Caenorhabditis elegans: one gene and its partners. The protein of the gene in region 1 purifies or fractionates together with the protein of each later gene. This does not show direct contact. Each region holds a gene or a part of one and is shown in the gene's direction. Other genes may lie near its edges.

Region 1 (4,909 bases):
GGAAAGGAAAGGACACCCATTGTGGGATGTGCAAATGACTCAGTCGTCCACGAGAAAAATTGTGTTCGTCGAGACCCACCGCAGAGGGCGAAAAGTAAAAGGAGCATTTTAAAATGCGAAAATGGATGAGTCGTACTCTCGATGCCAAAAAGATTTGTGGATATTAGCTGAAACACGAAATAGCTAAATACGATCCGATGGAATATCTTCTGAGCAATAGTGATGAGTCAACGAAATTAATTTGATAAGCAAACACGTTATTAATAAAATTTCAAAATCCTGTTCTATTTGTCATCATCATTTAAGTAACGAAAAATGAAATCTGACTAATCAGTATAAAAGTGAGACAAAATAGTGTTTTTAATAAATAGATTGTATTTTCTGATTCTGAAATTGTTCAAAGGTGGCTTCTTGTCAGTAAGAAGTTTGTTTAATTATCACAGTTCCACATGCCCAAATATCATAATTTAATACTCAATTTTTTTTGAAGATTTTTTTTAAATTTTCAGTCTTACATAGAAGTTTTTGAATATTGCCAGAGAAGTTGAAGCATTGCATCAGGCTTCAGCTTTAATGTTCAAATATGTGTATCTAAAGCATAGGTAATTAGAATAGAAAATAAAAGAAATTCGTTTTTTTTTTGGCGGGCTTTCAAAACGAGTTGTCCGCGTCACTGTCGAAATTGGTGTATACTAGCGATATTCATAAATTTGTGTTTCCGAAAAAGTGAATAATTCCAGCAATATTCTCGTGCCCGTAGAATCGAATTTTTTTCGAGGTTTCTAATTCCAAAACATTTTCCTTTATAAACTGTTAAAACTTATGTGCATGTTAGGTGATCGTTTTTTGTTAGTACATATTAAGCATGATTTTGATTTGAAAAAATTCGGTTGATCGAGAGCTCCAAAAACAACAGTGCTGTAAGCAATGCACTTTTAACATGCTTTAAACAATATTTTTCTATTCGTCGTCACTTCCGTTTTAAACACGGTTAAACTTTCCGGCATACTTGTGTGGGTGTTTGTCATGGGACGCTCTTAAGTATTGAAAACACTTTATCTGTTATCAGACATTGTACGTGAAACAATATAAACTTTTGTTATTTTAGAAATAATATATAAGCTCTCTCTCAAAAATTTAAACATGAAAGCAATATTAATAATCAATGTTAAAGTGCTCGTCTGACCGTATTTCCCAACTGTTTTGTAGTCTGATCTTTCAATCTTACTGAGCAACAAGATTACCATCTTTACGACTGTCTCTTCAATCAATGTTGGTAGACTGCTCATTCATTAACACCCTTCTTATTAGAGAGCAAAGATCAAATCCTGCTCGGCTATTGTTCATGATGTCATAAAGGGTCTGGGCCGCATTAATGGGCCGAGATTGACCTAGATAAGGTGCTCCGCCCACCTTCCCATGTAGAGACCATTCTATGTAGCCACAATCATTCAGACATTTTTGTTGGCTGCCTGACGGACCAACTCAATTATTCTACCTTTTGGCCTGGTACAGGCCTGATTATTGTCTACGTGTTTTATTCAAATTTGTTTTTTTCTTGGATACTTGGATTGACTCAAATCGTCATAATTTTATTGTTTGTGCGGTGGTTTTTGCGGAAAGTGGAGTCCCCCTCACTCACCCATCCTCATTTCTTTTCGCCTTGAGCGATAATCGTTGGAAAATGAGCACACTGTACGAAGTGCATTGTGAGCCGAGGTGCTCAAACAACCGCCACCAGTCCGGCTACCTATGTACATTTTGGTCATTTTTGTTCCTTTAAATTGCTTGTTTTTCCGCAATAGCCCTTTCACCCATTCTTCTCATTCGAAAATTTGGTGAACGTATTTCTGAATAAATATATTTTTGTATTTTTTCAGCATGCTATTAGGCAAATTCCTTCTCGTGGCAAGTTTCATATTGCCAATTGCATACACATGGACGGGTGCTACAATTAGAAACCGTAAGTTATCTCGGCAATTTTTTCTAATGACTGTTCAGCTGAAACCATTGAATTTCTGATACAGACTGACACAAAAAGTCTAGTATTGACTTTTCAAATGGTCACTCAGTGTTTGCCAATATAGTTCAAGAGCACGTAAACAAAACCCCGCTGTTCTCACACGTTCTCTTCAGATCCGGCGGATGTTGTCGCTGCACGAAACAAAATCACTTCACGATCAGTGGCGAGATCCGAGCCAACCAATAGCTACATCAGACCGTGCTACTTCACCAACTGGGCTCAATACAGGTTTGAAATTTAATCGTATTTGTGAATAGGGGGACGATAATCGAAAGATGATAGTATGCAGTGAGGAATGAATAGTGGGAAAAAGTTCTGGTTTTCTGGTCTGCAAGTTAGTTTTTTTTTCAATTATTTTTTCAGACAAGGACGAGCCAAGTTTGTGCCAGAGGATTACACTCCAGGACTCTGCACGCATATTCTCTTTGCATTCGGATGGATGAACGCTGACTACACCGTTCGAGCATATGATCCAGCAGACTTGCCAAATGATTGGGCTGGAGAAGGAATGTACAGAAGAGTTAACAAGCTGAAAGTCACTGACACCCAACTCAAGACCCTTCTCTCGTTCGGAGGATGGAGTTTTGGAACTGCACTTTTCCAAGGAATGGCTGCCAGTTCTGCGTCTAGAAAAGTTTTTATCGACTCTGCTATCACTTTCGTTCGCACTTGGGGATTCGATGGTATTGATATCGACTGGGAGTACCCTTCTGGAGCAACTGACATGGCTAACTACGTTGCCCTCGTGAAGGAGTTGAAGGCTGCTTGTGAGTCGGAAGCCGGAAGCACTGGAAAGGATCGTCTTCTTGTAACCGCCGCTGTCGCCGCAGGACCAGCCACAATCGATGCTGGGTATGATATTCCAAACTTGGCACCGAACTTTGACTTTATTCTTCTCATGAGTTACGATTTCTTCGGAGCATGGGCTTCTCTTGTTGGATTCAACTCTCCACTCTATGCTACGACCGAGCTCCCAGCTGAATGGAATGGATGGAACGTTGATTCATCTGCTAGATACTGGAACCAGAAGGGTATGCCAAAAGAGAAGATCATCGTCGGAATGCCAACATATGGACGAGGATGGACTTTGAACAATGCCAGTGCAATTAATCCAGGAACAAGCGGATCCCCAGCTAAGATCACTCAATATGTTCAAGAAGCCGGAGTTGGAGCCTACTTCGAGTTCTGCGAGATGCTCGCCAATGGAGCCACCAGATATTGGGATAGCCAGTCTCAAGTTCCATATCTCGTACAAGGAAATCAATGGTGGTCGTACGATGATGAAGAGTCGTTTGCCAACAAGATGGCATACGTTAAGAGAGAAGGTTACGGAGGAGCTTTTGTATGGACTCTTGATTTTGACGATTTCAATGCTGGATGCAGCAACTCTAATGGTCAGCTTTACCCACTCATCAGTGTCATTGCTAAGGAGCTTGGAGGAGTTATCATTCCAAAGAAAGGTGGCGTCACAACTGCTCCAACCACTGTAGCAACTACGGTCACAACTGGACGCCCTCCAATGACTTCAGCAGTAACCACAACTACTGCCGCTACCACAACTACAACACGTGCAGCTACTACAACCACAGCTTCCAATACAAATGTCTGTTCTGGAAAATCGGATGGATTTTATCCAAACAGCAACAACTGCGGACTTTTCGTTCTTTGTCTGAGCTGTAAGTTTTTAAAAATTATATTATTTAGAATGTTTATGAACAATTTTCAATTTCAGCAAAATCATACAGCATGTCGTGCCCATCAGGACTTCAATACTCTGCTTCCCTGAAATACTGTACCACTTCCACTGCTTCTGGATGTTCTGTGACCACTACTAGAGCTCCAACTACGACAACAAAATCTGCGCCAACTGTCACCACAACTACAAGAGCACCAACAACCACTACACCGGCTTTCAAGTGTACCAAGGATGGATTCTTCGGAGTTCCGAGTGATTGCCTCAAGTTTATCCGCTGTGTGAATGGTATTTCATACAACTTTGAGTGCCCCAACGGTTTGAGCTTCCACGCTGACACAATGATGTGTGATCGTCCAGATCCATCAAAATGTGCAAAATAAGTGTATTAATTTCCAACATCTGTTTAATTTCATTCTTGCATTCCTTATTTCCTATAACTTCGTTATTCCCACGGGCCACCTGTCATTTGTTGCTTGTAGCAACTCAAAAAGTAAACAATTTATGTTATTCATTTAATGTATATTCAACTTTAAAACGTATTTATTGTATCAATAAACGTATATAACAAAACACTTTTTTATTTCATGGACAATCTACAAACAAAGCGACCCCTAATTTATAACTACATGCATAAGAACCCATTTTTCTTGAGAGACCAACTTGTTTCGACGATTGCCAACTGGTATCAATTTTGAAAAGAGAGACCCAGTTCACTTTCCAATGTTTTTGTAAATGTTCACTCCAAAATCGAGAAGAAATATGCAGCACGCCAACTGCACCACAAAACTGATAAAGTTCATCAGCGCCGGTTTTCCACTGAGATATGCGAACGTTTTCGAGGCTTTGTGTTTTAAGTATAAGAATACATTTGTTCCAGGAAACTCTGGTGAGAAGTGACGATTGATTTCCTGAAATTAAAATAGGTATTTAAAATATAAATGTTCTAATTATTATTTGTTACCTGTGGAGTTTTTCCTGCAGTTTCGGGAAGCCATTTGTAAGTAACACCTACATAAACTGTGTTCATTGCTACAAATGGTATTAGTACATTTGATATTCCATGAGTGTTCAAAGCAGTTAGTAGGCAGTTTGTCAAAACCCCTCCAAATCCATTCTGGAATAACCTTAAAAAATTGTTACAGCGAAACATCATGAACAAACCTGAACGATGCCCACAATAGCTGATCCCA
Region 2 (5,661 bases), 5.8 Mb from region 1:
GATCAAAATCTTTGATGTCTTCTTCTTTATCTCTTTCTCAGCTTGTTTCCCATACCCCTCCCAATTCTTTCACTTTTCTGCCAGCAGTGGCATGAACGAGTTGACAACTGTTGTTACTCTCTGACTCGGCGATGATTTCGCAGTACATCTCATCCTTGTGCACACTGTCTCTCTCATCCGGAGCAAGTAAGTGAGATAGAAGGGGGAGAAGACCACTAATTCCGAACCCACATCCTCTGCGCCCTCAGTTATCCGTTTCGCATAGTTGTGTGGAGAAATGTGGTGGTATCGTGTGGGGAATGGTTGGGTGCTCCTCCTTCTTTTCTTATCCTTCCTTGTTGCTAGATTTGATTGAATTGTGCCTTCCATGTGCGGCCCATAATTTTCAATTTAGTTATTCCTATGTTCCAAAGTGCATCAGATTTTGTAATAAGTATAACTTCAGAGCAAATATTTATAATCGAAATCAGGTTTCACTTGGATTTTTTTTGAAGATTAAGTAATTTAGAAGTTTTTCGAATGCTCATAATAGTAATTGTGCGGTTGGAAATCTTCGCACTTCTCCATCCCCTATCCGTCGTATTCCAGTTCATCCGTTCGCGGAACTTTTGCTCTCTTATTTCAGTTCTCACATTTACATGCCCCATAAATGTAGATCAGTGTGAAACCCAACACCTTCCTTACCTGGCGGCGTTTACCGGACCACCGTTTTCTATTTCATTTGCTCAGTGCCTTTTTGAGAGCATCACTTCCACGTCATCATGAACGATGTTTTAGTTTAATGTTGGTCTTTACTTCAGAAGATATGGTGTTCTTTCAAAATCAGAATATTTTTAGATTAAAGTATGATAAAAGTACATACTATATTGTCATAAATCTTTTTAATAAAATGTATTTAGCGAAAATGTTCCCACAGTTCAACTTCCCAAAAATAAACAGTTTCCAAAAATAATAAGCATAGTCAGAGAAGAAGTTGAACGTCGTTTTTTAAGCAAATTATTTTTCTTAATTTTTTCAGTTTTGCGATTTTCTAAAAATACGGCTTAATTGCTAACTATAAGGATCTAACCGCAAAAAAATTGAACCTATTTTTTTTTATTTTCTGAGTTCCAGTTTCGATTTTTCGGAGTTTTGTTCGATTTGGTTTGATTTTTCAAAAATTTTTTAGATTATAATAAATTAATTAAACGGAATATATAAAAAGTTATTCATAAAAGTGAGAGGATAGTTTGTCAACTTCCTGTTTATTTGGTTGCACGTTTTAGTTGGTGTAGAAACTTTTTGTTATTCAATAATCTCATGAAAAAAAGTTCAAATAAACTCATGAAAAATAGTTCAAAAAATTTTTTTAGCGTGTTGCTTTATTATTTGAAATTTAGAAGAATTTTATAGTTTTTTCTCACGAAACCAGCACATTTTCTTTGTGTTTAATGTATCCCGGATTTGAAAAAGTCCACTGATGTTTAAACTCAAAAGACAAAGGTTGGAAACAAAAGTTCATTTTGCCATGCTTCTCATCTGACACTCGCTTTTTGTCAAACATGTACTTCAGTTAATTAAAACCAATTTATATAAATCAAAAATTCACAAGCTCTTAGCTCTTCATTCTTGGACGATTTCGCATTACACCAGTTGAGAACATCTCTCTCAGAAGAAACTCTGTCATAAATTTTGCTCTTTCATCCGCTTTGAACACCTGTTCTACTTTTCTCAACCTACTTCTTCATTTTTTAACTTTTTTTCTATAACACATGTCATTGACATCTTTTTTCTGTTCGTCTTTTTGCTTGTGTGCTTCAAAAAATGAATTTCAGAAATCAAAGCACAATGCCATTAAGCTGTACGGCGCGAGCGCTCAAATTCTCATTATTCATATTCAATTTGGTGTTTCTGGTAAGTGGGGCGGTTTGTGCTCAAAGAAGCTTAAACAATTGGTCAGTGTTTGGTGGAAGTTTGATAAATCGACGAGCATTGCCTTCCAACATAAATATGTGTGAATGCCTAATGGCTCACCAACTGTTGCCGGGCATTAAAATTTATGACCGCGGCATTTAACGAACACTGTGGTAATTGTTTCGATTAAATGTTGATAGTTCTGTTAGTTAAACGCAAGGTACAGCCCTAAAAAGTAAAAAGTCATTCGTGGAAAATGTTATTTTAATTTGTTCCAAATTTAATACGCTAAGGTTACCAAAGATTCAAACAAGGCTAAGCTTCAGAATGTTGAATATATTCTTTAATAAATATCAATCAAATTTCAGTCTAGTAACAGAGCTTCATTTCATTATTTAAAAAATACAAGACAAAAATATTAATCTTTCATATCTTTTTATGATTTTTTGTTGAAAATAACAAAATAAAAAAAATTGCTCGAACAATATTCTACATACTATTTTTTTACCATTAGCGTTACATGACAAACTGTTTTTTAATCTAGTTGGCCCAGAATAAAACCAGCGTATGAAAACTGGATTTTGAAACACCAAACAAATTCAAACATCGTATGAACATCAGACAACTATACTTAATTTATAACTAGCTAAGTAACTAACTAAGACTATAACTAAGTAAGAATTATTTCAGCTTTGTGGCTTGATATGTCTTGGAATTGGATTATGGCTAGTTCTCGACAAATATGCAATTGACAATCTTGCATTCGCCACCGCAAAAGTTCAAGGATACGATCAAGATGCTGGATTAAGAGACTTGGTTACCACTTTATACAGTTGGGAGTATTAAACCATACCATTTTCAGGCAACAAAACCAACAGCAGTCCGCCAGTTTGGATATTTGTTATTCGTTGGTGGATTTATTGTCATTGTAGTGGCATTTTTGGGGTGTTGTGGTGCTGCTAAGGAATGGAGACCACTTTTATGTTGCGTAAGTTATCTGACAGATACATATCATTTTCACGTTACAATTAAACTAACATGTTTAAACAAAACTAATTGAAAAGTATTGGAAAGTGTTTTTGGGGCAGGTATATAAACATGTACCAATACAGAAACACTAGGCTCACAAAAACTATTTGGCGTTTTTGAAAAATGTATTTTCAGTACTCATCCTGTTTAATGTTAATACTTGCAATACAAATTGCTGCAACAATATACGCTTTCCTTCACAGTCACATGGTGAGTCAACGCAACAAAAAAAACAAGAATTTTCTTGTTTTCAATCCAGAATTTTATAAAACGTTATCGTTGTTTTTTTTTGCAGTTTGAAAACGACTTTCGAGACATTCTTCATTCGTCGTTAAAAATGTACAATGGAACGGATAACATGAAAGTCAGCAACAATCCTCAAGATGGTTTGTTGGTAAAAACAGCATGGGACAAAATTATGATTGAGGTATGGTAAAGAAGTGGTGACAGTAACTATAAACTACTTTTTTTTTAAATTTTCACAATTCTCACTAATCTTGCGATAGTTTTCAACAGATCTACTCACTGACTTTGAAGGTTTGAATAATATTTTTTTCAATGGTTCTTTGATAATTTGTAGCACTCATCAAATTGATATAAATGCAAGTTTTGTTTTTATGTAATTCTCAGTATTTTGCTTCTCGGCTCATTCTGAGATTTACTTACGGATACCGTTTTTTTTTAAACCATACCGTAATAATTATTTTGTGAGAAGTTAGGTTAAAAGATACTTGTATAAAATGCTCATAACTACTGTACTTTGGATGTTTTACCTTTCGGTCTGGAGAAACTTTAAGTTTTTATTTCCAGAAATCGTGTTGCGGAGTAGACTCCAAAATTGGAGAGTTCAACAATTCCGGATGGTATCAGCTGAACCATGGACGCTACCAATTTCCACCAGCATGTTGCCCACCTGATGAACATGGAAGATTAAGACCATACTGTAACACAATCATGAGACATTCCCATGTGAGTTAGCATGTTTTTTATTTTTCTAGGATTTTTTGTTTGTCTTTACTATACGATTTGGTCCCATGTGAAATCAAAGGCTTATACATAAATATGTACGTCTGCACGTATTGTCACGTAACGTAACAAACATTACTTGTATTGAATGTCGGCTGAAGTTAACCTATAATTATATTCTTAACGCGTGATATCAAATACTTTGTATATTGATGTTATAGATGTAGTAATTTCGATCAATTTATCAGGGATGCTACGCAAAAATTGCGGAATCATTTGAAGAAGTGACATCTCATTTCAAGATTGTTTCCTGGACTGTTGTATTGTTCGCTTTGATTCAAGTATGCATTATGCCTGGTTTTGATGTTATGAAGGCTTAAGCATGTTTCAGGTGGTTGGTATTGTTGTTGGCTTCTGGTTATGCGACTCAATTACTTCCGAAGACGAATTCTGATTTGGCTACACCGCCTACCGTAACCCACTGGGAATATACCTTGTTTTTTGAGATTTTTGTTTTCAGGGTTGTATAACGCCACTTTATCGTGAATCCCAGATACACTTCTCAGCCATATTCTCGATTCTTGTCGTCTTGACAATTTTCGATGTGAGTTTCTTGTAGTTTTTTTTAATGCCACTTTTTAAATGTTTTCAGATTGTTCTATTCATTGTTGGTGTTCAATTGTTTCGTCACATTCGAATTGAAATGCTCTATTATTTCTAAAGGTTTAACTCACCAATAAAAACACATTTTCAATTTCCAATTGCGTTTTACTTTTTACCTCCATTTCTAATTCAACCCCCACTTCCCCTTAAATTCTCCTACCAAATCAACATTCTACACCGGGTTTCGTCTTTCAGTAAAGCCAGTCAAGATGATGGAAAGCGTGACTGTCAGTCTTTTTTCCATCACCACCTGCTTTTTCATTTTCAAGATCTGTTTTATTGCCACCTACGCCACTATCATTACCGTACTTGGCAAAGATCACCCCTTTGTTCGCATCTACTTATAATTGTATTGTGACAAAATTGTAATTTTACATAGACAAATGTTTAGATGTTTTTATTTTGTATTATAAAGCAAAACCGCAGTTATTCAAAAGATAAAACTTTTATCTTGAAATTTTTGGTTTCTGAGCGATGTCATATTTTCAAAAATCTGATCAACTTCAAATAAATCTGTAAAGCTTTGGATAAAATTTCTTGAACAACGTTTCTGTTTCCTCTTTCTTGAACATACAATATATGTTACCCTGGAGATCATAAGTTAAAGTGAGCCACAAGGTTCAGAAAGGAGGGTGTAAGGTTTTGTTCACGAAGAGAAATTGACCACACCGCTTGTTGACTTAAATGTGGAACACGGCAAGTGGAAAATTAATTTAAAACCATTTCTGTAATGCTAAAAGGGCTAATTATAATTTGCCATTTGGTTTGGTAATTTCAGCACTATAGGAATTGTGTTTAATCATTTTTCCACGTACGCATTCTTGAAACAAGCAAACAACCTTTTCAACTATTTTATTTGTGTAAGAAATTATTCTAATCATTTCAATAAAATTTGTTGTCATTACTTTTAAATTGTAAAACTAATTTCATTGAATATATTTGTAAACTAATTTCATCGACTTAAAAGAATAAATTACAACACGAAAAGCAACATTCATGGCCAAGAGGATCTTGCTATCAATAGAAGTTTGGCATTATCATCACCATGCCAATAATTTCCTTTGCTATCGGATTGTGAATTCCCGAAAAATGGACTTGGAGTCTGTGCTT
Region 3 (7,317 bases), 3.1 Mb from region 1:
GTTCAAAAAAATCAGGTTGCGTCAGACAAGTAACAAACTGTGATATCAGTATGCTTACAAATAACATTTTGCTCTCGGCGGCAAGTATATGCCAAGTTTAATCAAAATGAAAGACCAAGTAAAAAAATTTACAGCATGAACTAGTTCAGGGTTTAATCGGTAATAACAACACAAATTTGGTACGCGGGAAGACCTGTAAGGTGTTTGCATCGTTTTGTCTCATTCGGCCAATCAAATATAAAGGTCGTAGAAGTTTTAATTGGGGGAATCTTTGAGAGTGAAAAGAAGATGAAATTACGCGTGGCCTCAAAAAGTTTTTTTTTGATGGCAAGATGATTGGTGAACACAAACATTTGACTATCAGTGGATGTTACTTTGAAATATTATAAAAACTCAGCAAATGGCAATTTTCAAGATCATACCATGCAGAAGATCAAGACAGAAATCTGGGGATGAATCAGACAAAGTCGCCGAATTGATCCAAATTATGTTTCGCTGAACTTCAACTATTTTTTCTTGTGTTCTTAATCAGGGTTCCCAGAAAAATGATGGTCTAGACTCACGTACTAAGTTTATAGCATTCAAGTTTTGCATGTGTATTGTAGAAATAGACTTCTAACGTTTTAATGATAGACTACAAAAAAGGGTGGAAAATCTGGATATGGGTACTGTGTTAATAATCAACGTATTATTATTACTGTAGCTTTTGTCAATTCTACACTTTGCCTATCTACACATTGTATCTACACATCTACACATTGCAATTGCTTGCAAACGCCTTTTCATAAAACTGAAACGCAATTTTTTGTTAAAATTAAAAAAATTCTTAGGAAATATAGCAAATTCCTTGAAAGGTAAACACGTATTACTTGAAAATATTTCATTAATTGACACCAAACATTACATATGGATTATTGTCGTCAGTGGAAATTTTGTCCGAAAATTTTTATTGCAATCCAGATCATCATAAAACAGTCTAAATTTTCAAAGTTTTTTTTGAAAAAAAAATCATTAAACGTATGTTATCAAGTTTATACATAGTTTAGGCTCCTTGATAAATTAAGAGTAGTGTCGCTGTACAATGTTCCAGTACAAGTGTATAAGATTTAATTAGAATATTATTTTTTTAAATTTCTATTATTTTTCAAATCGACTACCAATTTTATGTGAGCAAAGCTGATTAATCACAACTTTTTGGCTGCAAATGAAAATACTTCAAAATTTATTTATTTAACATTATAGAAGTGGTTCCATACATTTTAACTACATTCGCTACTCACCATTTATGGTGCCTTGTTTTAAAAACACTCATTAACCCGTTTTCATATGTATTTTCAGCGTCTCGTTATGTTTACTGTGTGTTATAATTAACAATTCAATTTTTTGAATGGTGTTGTAAGATTTTAAAGATTTTGAACAAGAAAACAGAATAACCTTCCCCTAAATCATTTTTCATCATAAATCACGCCGACATGATATTCAGTCGGCTCATATCACCATTTTACACCCTTTTCAACTTTGTGCCTTTCTTGTCATGCTTTTCTCTTTACCCTCCACTCAATTTTTCTTTTTCTCTTCAGAAACAGTACATCTTAATAGGTGATAACATTGAATTACAGACAACCCGCATCAAAACTTGGTCTCCAACAGTGACACGTACTCTCATTCCTTTGCTCGCCTTCTGCGCTATCCGATTAGTGGAGCATGTAATGTACGAAAACGCTTACAAGAGGTGGTGGAAAAAGAAAGTGGAAATGATAAAATTTATGAGTGAAATATTTAAGCGAGTAGGAGAAGCACTATTAAGAACAGTGCGGTTCAACTTGATAAAGAGACGCAGCAAGAAATTGGTGAGGACACAGTCATCGAGCCAACGCACCTATTGCCCACCTCCATACTCCTCCTTCTTCTTCATTTCTTGCCTCAAATACCGCGACAGGCTCATTCCTCGTCAGTATCGCCACTATGGGCTACTCGGAGAGTCGCTCGGAGAGCGTTAGCTCGAAAGGTAACTGATTCATCATATAAAAGTTCAATAAAGCATAATACATTTATTAAGACGGTTAAGCCTGAATATTATACCACCCATGTAGTTTAATTTTTAAGATATTGTAACATTACACAGTATTTGAATGTTTTAATAGTTTGTTCAATTGTATTTCTCTCGAAATATGATTCGCATGTGGTCAATCATCCAGTCGCAGATTTTAAAGATCCACTTTCCAGTTAAGGCTGGGGTACCCCTCACGTTTTATACTCGTGACCCCTAGTTGCTAGCGACTACCATTAACAACTGGGCTCCTGTTGAAAACTGTAATCCAATAATTTTGTATTACTTATGAGTAACAAGAACCCTCAACTAATAAATCTAATATTAATGCAGATTTTGCAACACACTGTACGGAACAAAATAACTTACCTCCAGCATACCGAAACATCATTTCCAGATTGTTTTATTGTTTTGTAAAATACAATTCTTCTTAACAGCCGCTAAAACTAGTGATAATGGCATTTATCTAAAATTAGATGGATTATAACTAATCTTGCCGCGTGGGAAATTTTATCTATCAAAAAAAAAGGCGACAAGAGTAAATTTCAGAGTTTTTGATCGAAAATCGACAGAACGAGTTTTTCAGGCAAAACATCATACGGCCATGAACTCGAAACAGTACCACTACCGGAAAAGAAAATCTACACAACATGGCCTGATATGATCAGGCATTGGCCTAAAACAACACTGTGCATCGTGTCCAACGAATTCTGCGAACGATTCTCATACTATGGAATGAGAAGTGAGTTGCTTTATTTGTTAGGGTAAAAGTGTAAAGGATATAATAGATCCTTTAAACAGCCTTAAACATTTCTGATGTATCAATAATCTACAAAAAATATTTTTATTTGTACATATATTTTTAGTTTAGTTTAAGAGGTAAGGTGAAGAAAAAGTAGAGTTAAACCTTATTTTGATTTTCGGCCGGTGGGTGGACATTTTCAGATAAGGGTATTATCAACATTTACTTTAAGTACATGGTACTCAAAAAGTGAATTTCCTATCTACATGCCAGTATATTTAAAAATCGAAAGTTTTGACACATGAAATGCAAATAAGACATTTTTTCACCGATATCACTAAAAGGTCATAATCCGGTTATTACCATAATGATTATGACGTTGGCAGTACAGAAGATCAATTGAAACGTGACACGAAAAATTTGCAGCGGTCTTGACATTCTACCTGCTTAACGTACTAAAGTTCACCGACTCACAATCTACGATCTTCTTCAATGGATTTACTGTGCTTTGCTATACCACACCACTTCTCGGATCAATTGTTGCGGACGGATACATTGGAAAATTCTGGTATGTAATAATTGTTGTTTTGCACTCAATAACGACTTTTCAGGACAATCTTCTCTGTCTCAATTCTATACGCAATCGGACAAGTCGTGCTCGCTCTCGCTTCTACTAAGAATTTTCAATCTTCAGTTCACCCGTAAGTGATGCTTGTTCCAGTATTCGACGCATAAACTTATCATGCAACTTTTCCGTCTTTACGAATTCCTCTCGATTGAAACAAGGCATGATGATAAGAACTTCAACCGTGGCAACTTTTGCCCGACAGTGCACGCGCCACATTAAACATTAAAAAACTGAAACCGAACAAAATTAAAAAGGGTTCACAAGAAATAAACTGCTGAATTTTCAGATGGATGGATCTGTCTGGATTACTGATCATTGCGTTCGGTACCGGAGGAATCAAGCCATGTGTGTCTGCATTCGGAGGAGATCAATTCGAGTTAGGACAAGAAAGAATGCTCTCACTCTTCTTTTCCATGTTCTACTTTTCCATCAACGCAGGATCTATGATCTCTACTTTCATCTCTCCCATCTTCAGATGTAAACTTGACAATTCTTAAAACACTATTAGAGTACAATAATTTCAGCTCAACCATGCCTTGGACAAGATTCCTGCTACCCAATGGCTTTTGGTATTCCGGCTATTCTTATGATTGTTGCAACACGTGAGATAAAATATTCAAAAATCACATTGACTATTAAACTCTTACAGTGGTATTTATGGGAGGTTCATTTTGGTACAAGAAGAACCCACCAAAGGACAACGTGTTCGGAGAAGTATCTCGTCTTATGTTTGTAAGTTTTTGTTTTGTTTTATTTCTAAACTGCTTTGAAACCAAGATTAAATATTCAGAGAGCTGTTGGAAACAAAATGAAGTCAGGATCCACACCAAAGGAACACTGGCTCCTTCACTACCTTACTACTCACGACTGTGCTCTTGATGCAAAATGCCTCGAACTCCAAGCTGAGAAAAGAAACAAGAATCTGTGCCAAAAGAAAAAATTCATCGATGATGTCCGTTCCCTACTCCGTGTTCTTGTCATGTTCTTGCCAGTACCAATGTTCTGGGCACTTTACGATCAGCAAGGATCTGTCTGGCTCATTCAAGGTTTGTAAAGTTCTAGATAACAATTTAAAAATGATCAAATTGGGGAGTCAGCTGCAGAATTCCTTGTGGTGCACCCACTGGGTTTTAGCTTAAGCTACAATCAAGCCGGGGGGCTAAGTCAGCCGTTGATTAATCTAATTCCCAGCGTTGGCTTAGTGAACCTAGGAGTGCAATTTTGTGATTGCTAGCGACCACCACTACCGACTGAGACATCCCCGCTCTTCACATGTTAAAAATGTGTTTTTTCAGCTATTCAAATGGATTGTCGTCTTTCTGACACCCTTCTCCTTCTTCCGGATCAAATGCAGACATTGAACGCCGTGCTTATTCTTCTCTTTATCCCACTCTTTCAGGTCATCATCTACCCAGTCGCTGCCAAGTGTGTCCGACTTACGTGAGTTTTCATTGAAATAAAATTATTTGTGTATAATGAATTATTATATTTTAGACCTTTGAGAAAAATGGTCACTGGAGGGCTTCTCGCGTCACTTGCCTTTTTGATCACTGGATTTGTTCAACTTCAAGTCAATGTAATTTCAAATAAAATTGTTCCATAATTTATTAATTCTTTACAGACTACTCTTCCAACTCTCCCGGAAGAAGGAGAAGCATCAATTAGTTTCTGGAACCAGTTTGAAACTGATTGCACCATTACCGTTATGTCTGGAATTCACAAGAGAGTTCTTCCCCATGACAAGGTTTGAGATTCGAATTTGATTCTTTTCACTTTTAACTTTCTCCTCCTAAGTTCTAAACGAAAGATCATGCCATTTTAAGTGCTGATAAGAAAAAAGGAAGTCAGAAAAAGTTATCGTAAAATTATTTAATTTATTGCCTTTGTCATGAATTACTATACGTATTTACACAACAACGTTTCAGTATCTTCACGAAGATAAAAAGAACAAGTCTGGAATTTATAATCTTTTTACAACAAAATCCCCCGCAAAAGGTAATGGCGATTGGACTCTCACATATGACCTCAGCTATGACGGCGCTTGCGGAGATACATCAAAATTGGAGAAAACTGTTAAAGTGACTGCCAAGAGCAAGAAGATCATCTACGTTGGAGTCGGATCATTTGGATATTACCAAAACACAGCTAACACTGATAAGCCAACTGATGGAACTGGAGAATTCTCTATGGGGTAGGGGTGTTCATAACACGGAACAATGGTTAAATAATATATAAATTCCAGAATTGTCACTGTATTCAATTCTTCATACGGAGGAAACTTTGCCATGTGCCGTCAAAATACAAGCGACTTTGATGTTAACCATCCATGTAATCCAAGACATCCTGCTGACTTTTACTTCTGGGAAACCGATTATAATAGTCATACCGATGACAGAGATCAAAACGCTACAATTACTGGATCTCTTAGTTCCCAACCGGCTGTAACTTACAAGCAGAAATCTGTAAAGCCAGGATATTGGCAGTTGTACTACCTTTTGAATACACCAAAAGATGTAGACCGGCAGACTTACAACAAAACAGCAACACTCGTTGCTCCAACAAATTACGGTTTTCACAGAGTTAAGCAGGGAGGTGTGTTCATCTATGCATTGACCGGAACATACGAAAATCCAAAGATCCACGAGCTTCAAATTGTACAGTCCAATAGTGTGTCGATTCTTTGGCAGATTCCACAAATCGTTGTCATCACGGCAGCAGAAATTTTGTTCTCAATTACCGGATACGAATTTGCATATTCTCAGGTAATGTTAATAGTTAAAATTTATAATTTATAATGCTATTCTAACTGTAAATATTACAGTCTGCCCCATCAATGAAAGCTCTGGTACAAGCCCTCTGGCTCTTGACCACTGCTGCTGGAGATTCCATCATTGTAGTCATCACAATCCTTAACTTATTTGAAAATATGGCCGTCGAATTCTTTGTCTATGCTGCTGCGATGTTTGTAGTTATTGCCATCTTTGCTCTTCTCTCCATTTTCTATTATACTTACAATTATTATACAACTGATGAAGAGGACGGTGAAATTGGAGTTGATGATGAGGAAGAAATTGAGGATCACAATCCACGATATTCAATTGATAACAAAGGTTTCCATCCGGACGAAAAAGATACTTTCGATATGCATTTTTAATTAAATCCTAATATGTATAAATTTTCAATTTTGTTTTCCTAAACCTACTACTGTTGCTTTCCCTTATTGTGACATCGTGATAAAATTCGTTTTCACTTGAAAAAATAAATATTTCTAAAAACTTTGTTCATGTCCACTCTCACAACAACAGCCGAACTGCATCTTGATTCTGTCGTTTTGCGACCAAACACATTTCTTATTCCATTGCAAAAGTCTCTGAACTCAAAAATAGGAGCCAAATTTGAAAGTTGGCATGCGACGACCGGATGAGTATATCCGGTCTAAAGCTTTGTAAGCTAGTGGAGGACGGACAATAGCTTGTTGCCGGGGGCTCTCTCATTATCTGCTTTTTTTTGGATTTGCTCACGACACACTGGGCGACTAAATATGACGGATGAATTAACATCACCTTCTCTCAAATCTGGAAATGTTCTGGCTCTACTTAACACACTTTACACTTCCGGATTTGCAATGGCGTCCTCCAGCACTCCATTGCTCAAAGGTTTGACTCTTGGGCAAATAATTTTTTGTCATTTTAATTTTTTCACTTATAGGCAGAGTAGCAAGTTTTATTATCACGGTAATAGTCTTCAAACATTTTAATTAATCAATTAAATTTGATGAATTAAAACATTTCAGGGCGTTTTAAAATTTCGAAAAATTATGGCCGAGTTTAGCTAAATTTCACAATTCCTTGTATAAAAAAAATGCCTACTGAATAACCTGCAGATGCAAAAACGTGT

Evidence for each region.
Region 2: the proteins of cht-1 (region 1) and tsp-11 fractionate together in Caenorhabditis elegans (co-fractionation; one large-scale study listed by BioGRID). This does not show direct contact.
Region 3: the proteins of cht-1 (region 1) and pept-1 fractionate together in Caenorhabditis elegans (co-fractionation; one large-scale study listed by BioGRID). This does not show direct contact.

The regions. Positions count from the first base shown.
Region 1 is NC_003284.9:3,396,989-3,401,897, reverse strand, and holds cht-1 (putative endochitinase), read left to right. Parts: upstream 1-1,880; 5' UTR 1,881-1,881; coding exon 1,882-1,963; intron 1,964-2,136; coding exon 2,137-2,251; intron 2,252-2,386; coding exon 2,387-3,699; intron 3,700-3,755; coding exon 3,756-4,099; 3' UTR 4,100-4,285; downstream 4,286-4,909. Other genes in the region: slcf-2 (Major facilitator superfamily (MFS) profile domain-containing protein), read right to left, coding at 4,430-4,627, 4,681-4,833, 4,881-4,909.
Region 2 is NC_003284.9:9,161,361-9,167,021, forward strand, and holds tsp-11 (Tetraspanin), read left to right. Parts: upstream 1-1,803; coding exon 1,804-1,893; intron 1,894-2,583; coding exon 2,584-2,709; intron 2,710-2,755; coding exon 2,756-2,881; intron 2,882-3,057; coding exon 3,058-3,132; intron 3,133-3,217; coding exon 3,218-3,349; intron 3,350-3,732; coding exon 3,733-3,891; intron 3,892-4,136; coding exon 4,137-4,229; intron 4,230-4,279; coding exon 4,280-4,342; 3' UTR 4,343-4,361; intron 4,362-4,408; coding exon of another isoform or gene 4,409-4,492; intron 4,493-4,540; coding exon of another isoform or gene 4,541-4,609; 3' UTR 4,610-5,083; downstream 5,084-5,661. Other genes in the region: B0563.10 (Neuropeptide-Like Protein), read right to left, coding at 5,546-5,661.
Region 3 is NC_003284.9:6,455,068-6,462,384, forward strand, and holds pept-1 (Peptide transporter family 1), read left to right. Parts: upstream 1-1,804; 5' UTR 1,805-1,965; coding exon 1,966-2,008; intron 2,009-2,636; coding exon 2,637-2,792; intron 2,793-3,218; coding exon 3,219-3,360; intron 3,361-3,403; coding exon 3,404-3,493; intron 3,494-3,706; coding exon 3,707-3,897; intron 3,898-3,944; coding exon 3,945-4,022; intron 4,023-4,069; coding exon 4,070-4,152; intron 4,153-4,210; coding exon 4,211-4,466; intron 4,467-4,715; coding exon 4,716-4,860; intron 4,861-4,914; coding exon 4,915-4,996; intron 4,997-5,041; coding exon 5,042-5,164; intron 5,165-5,345; coding exon 5,346-5,611; intron 5,612-5,662; coding exon 5,663-6,182; intron 6,183-6,241; coding exon 6,242-6,574; 3' UTR 6,575-6,700; downstream 6,701-7,317. Other genes in the region: Zinc metalloproteinase nas-33, read right to left, coding at 1-67; K04E7.1 (Serpentine Receptor, class BC (Class B-like)), read left to right, coding at 6,962-7,076. UniProt on the Caenorhabditis elegans protein: Low-affinity peptide transporter that is necessary for proton-dependent uptake of di- or tripeptides, and to a minor extent tetrapeptides, in the intestine. Transport is independent of sodium and chloride ions.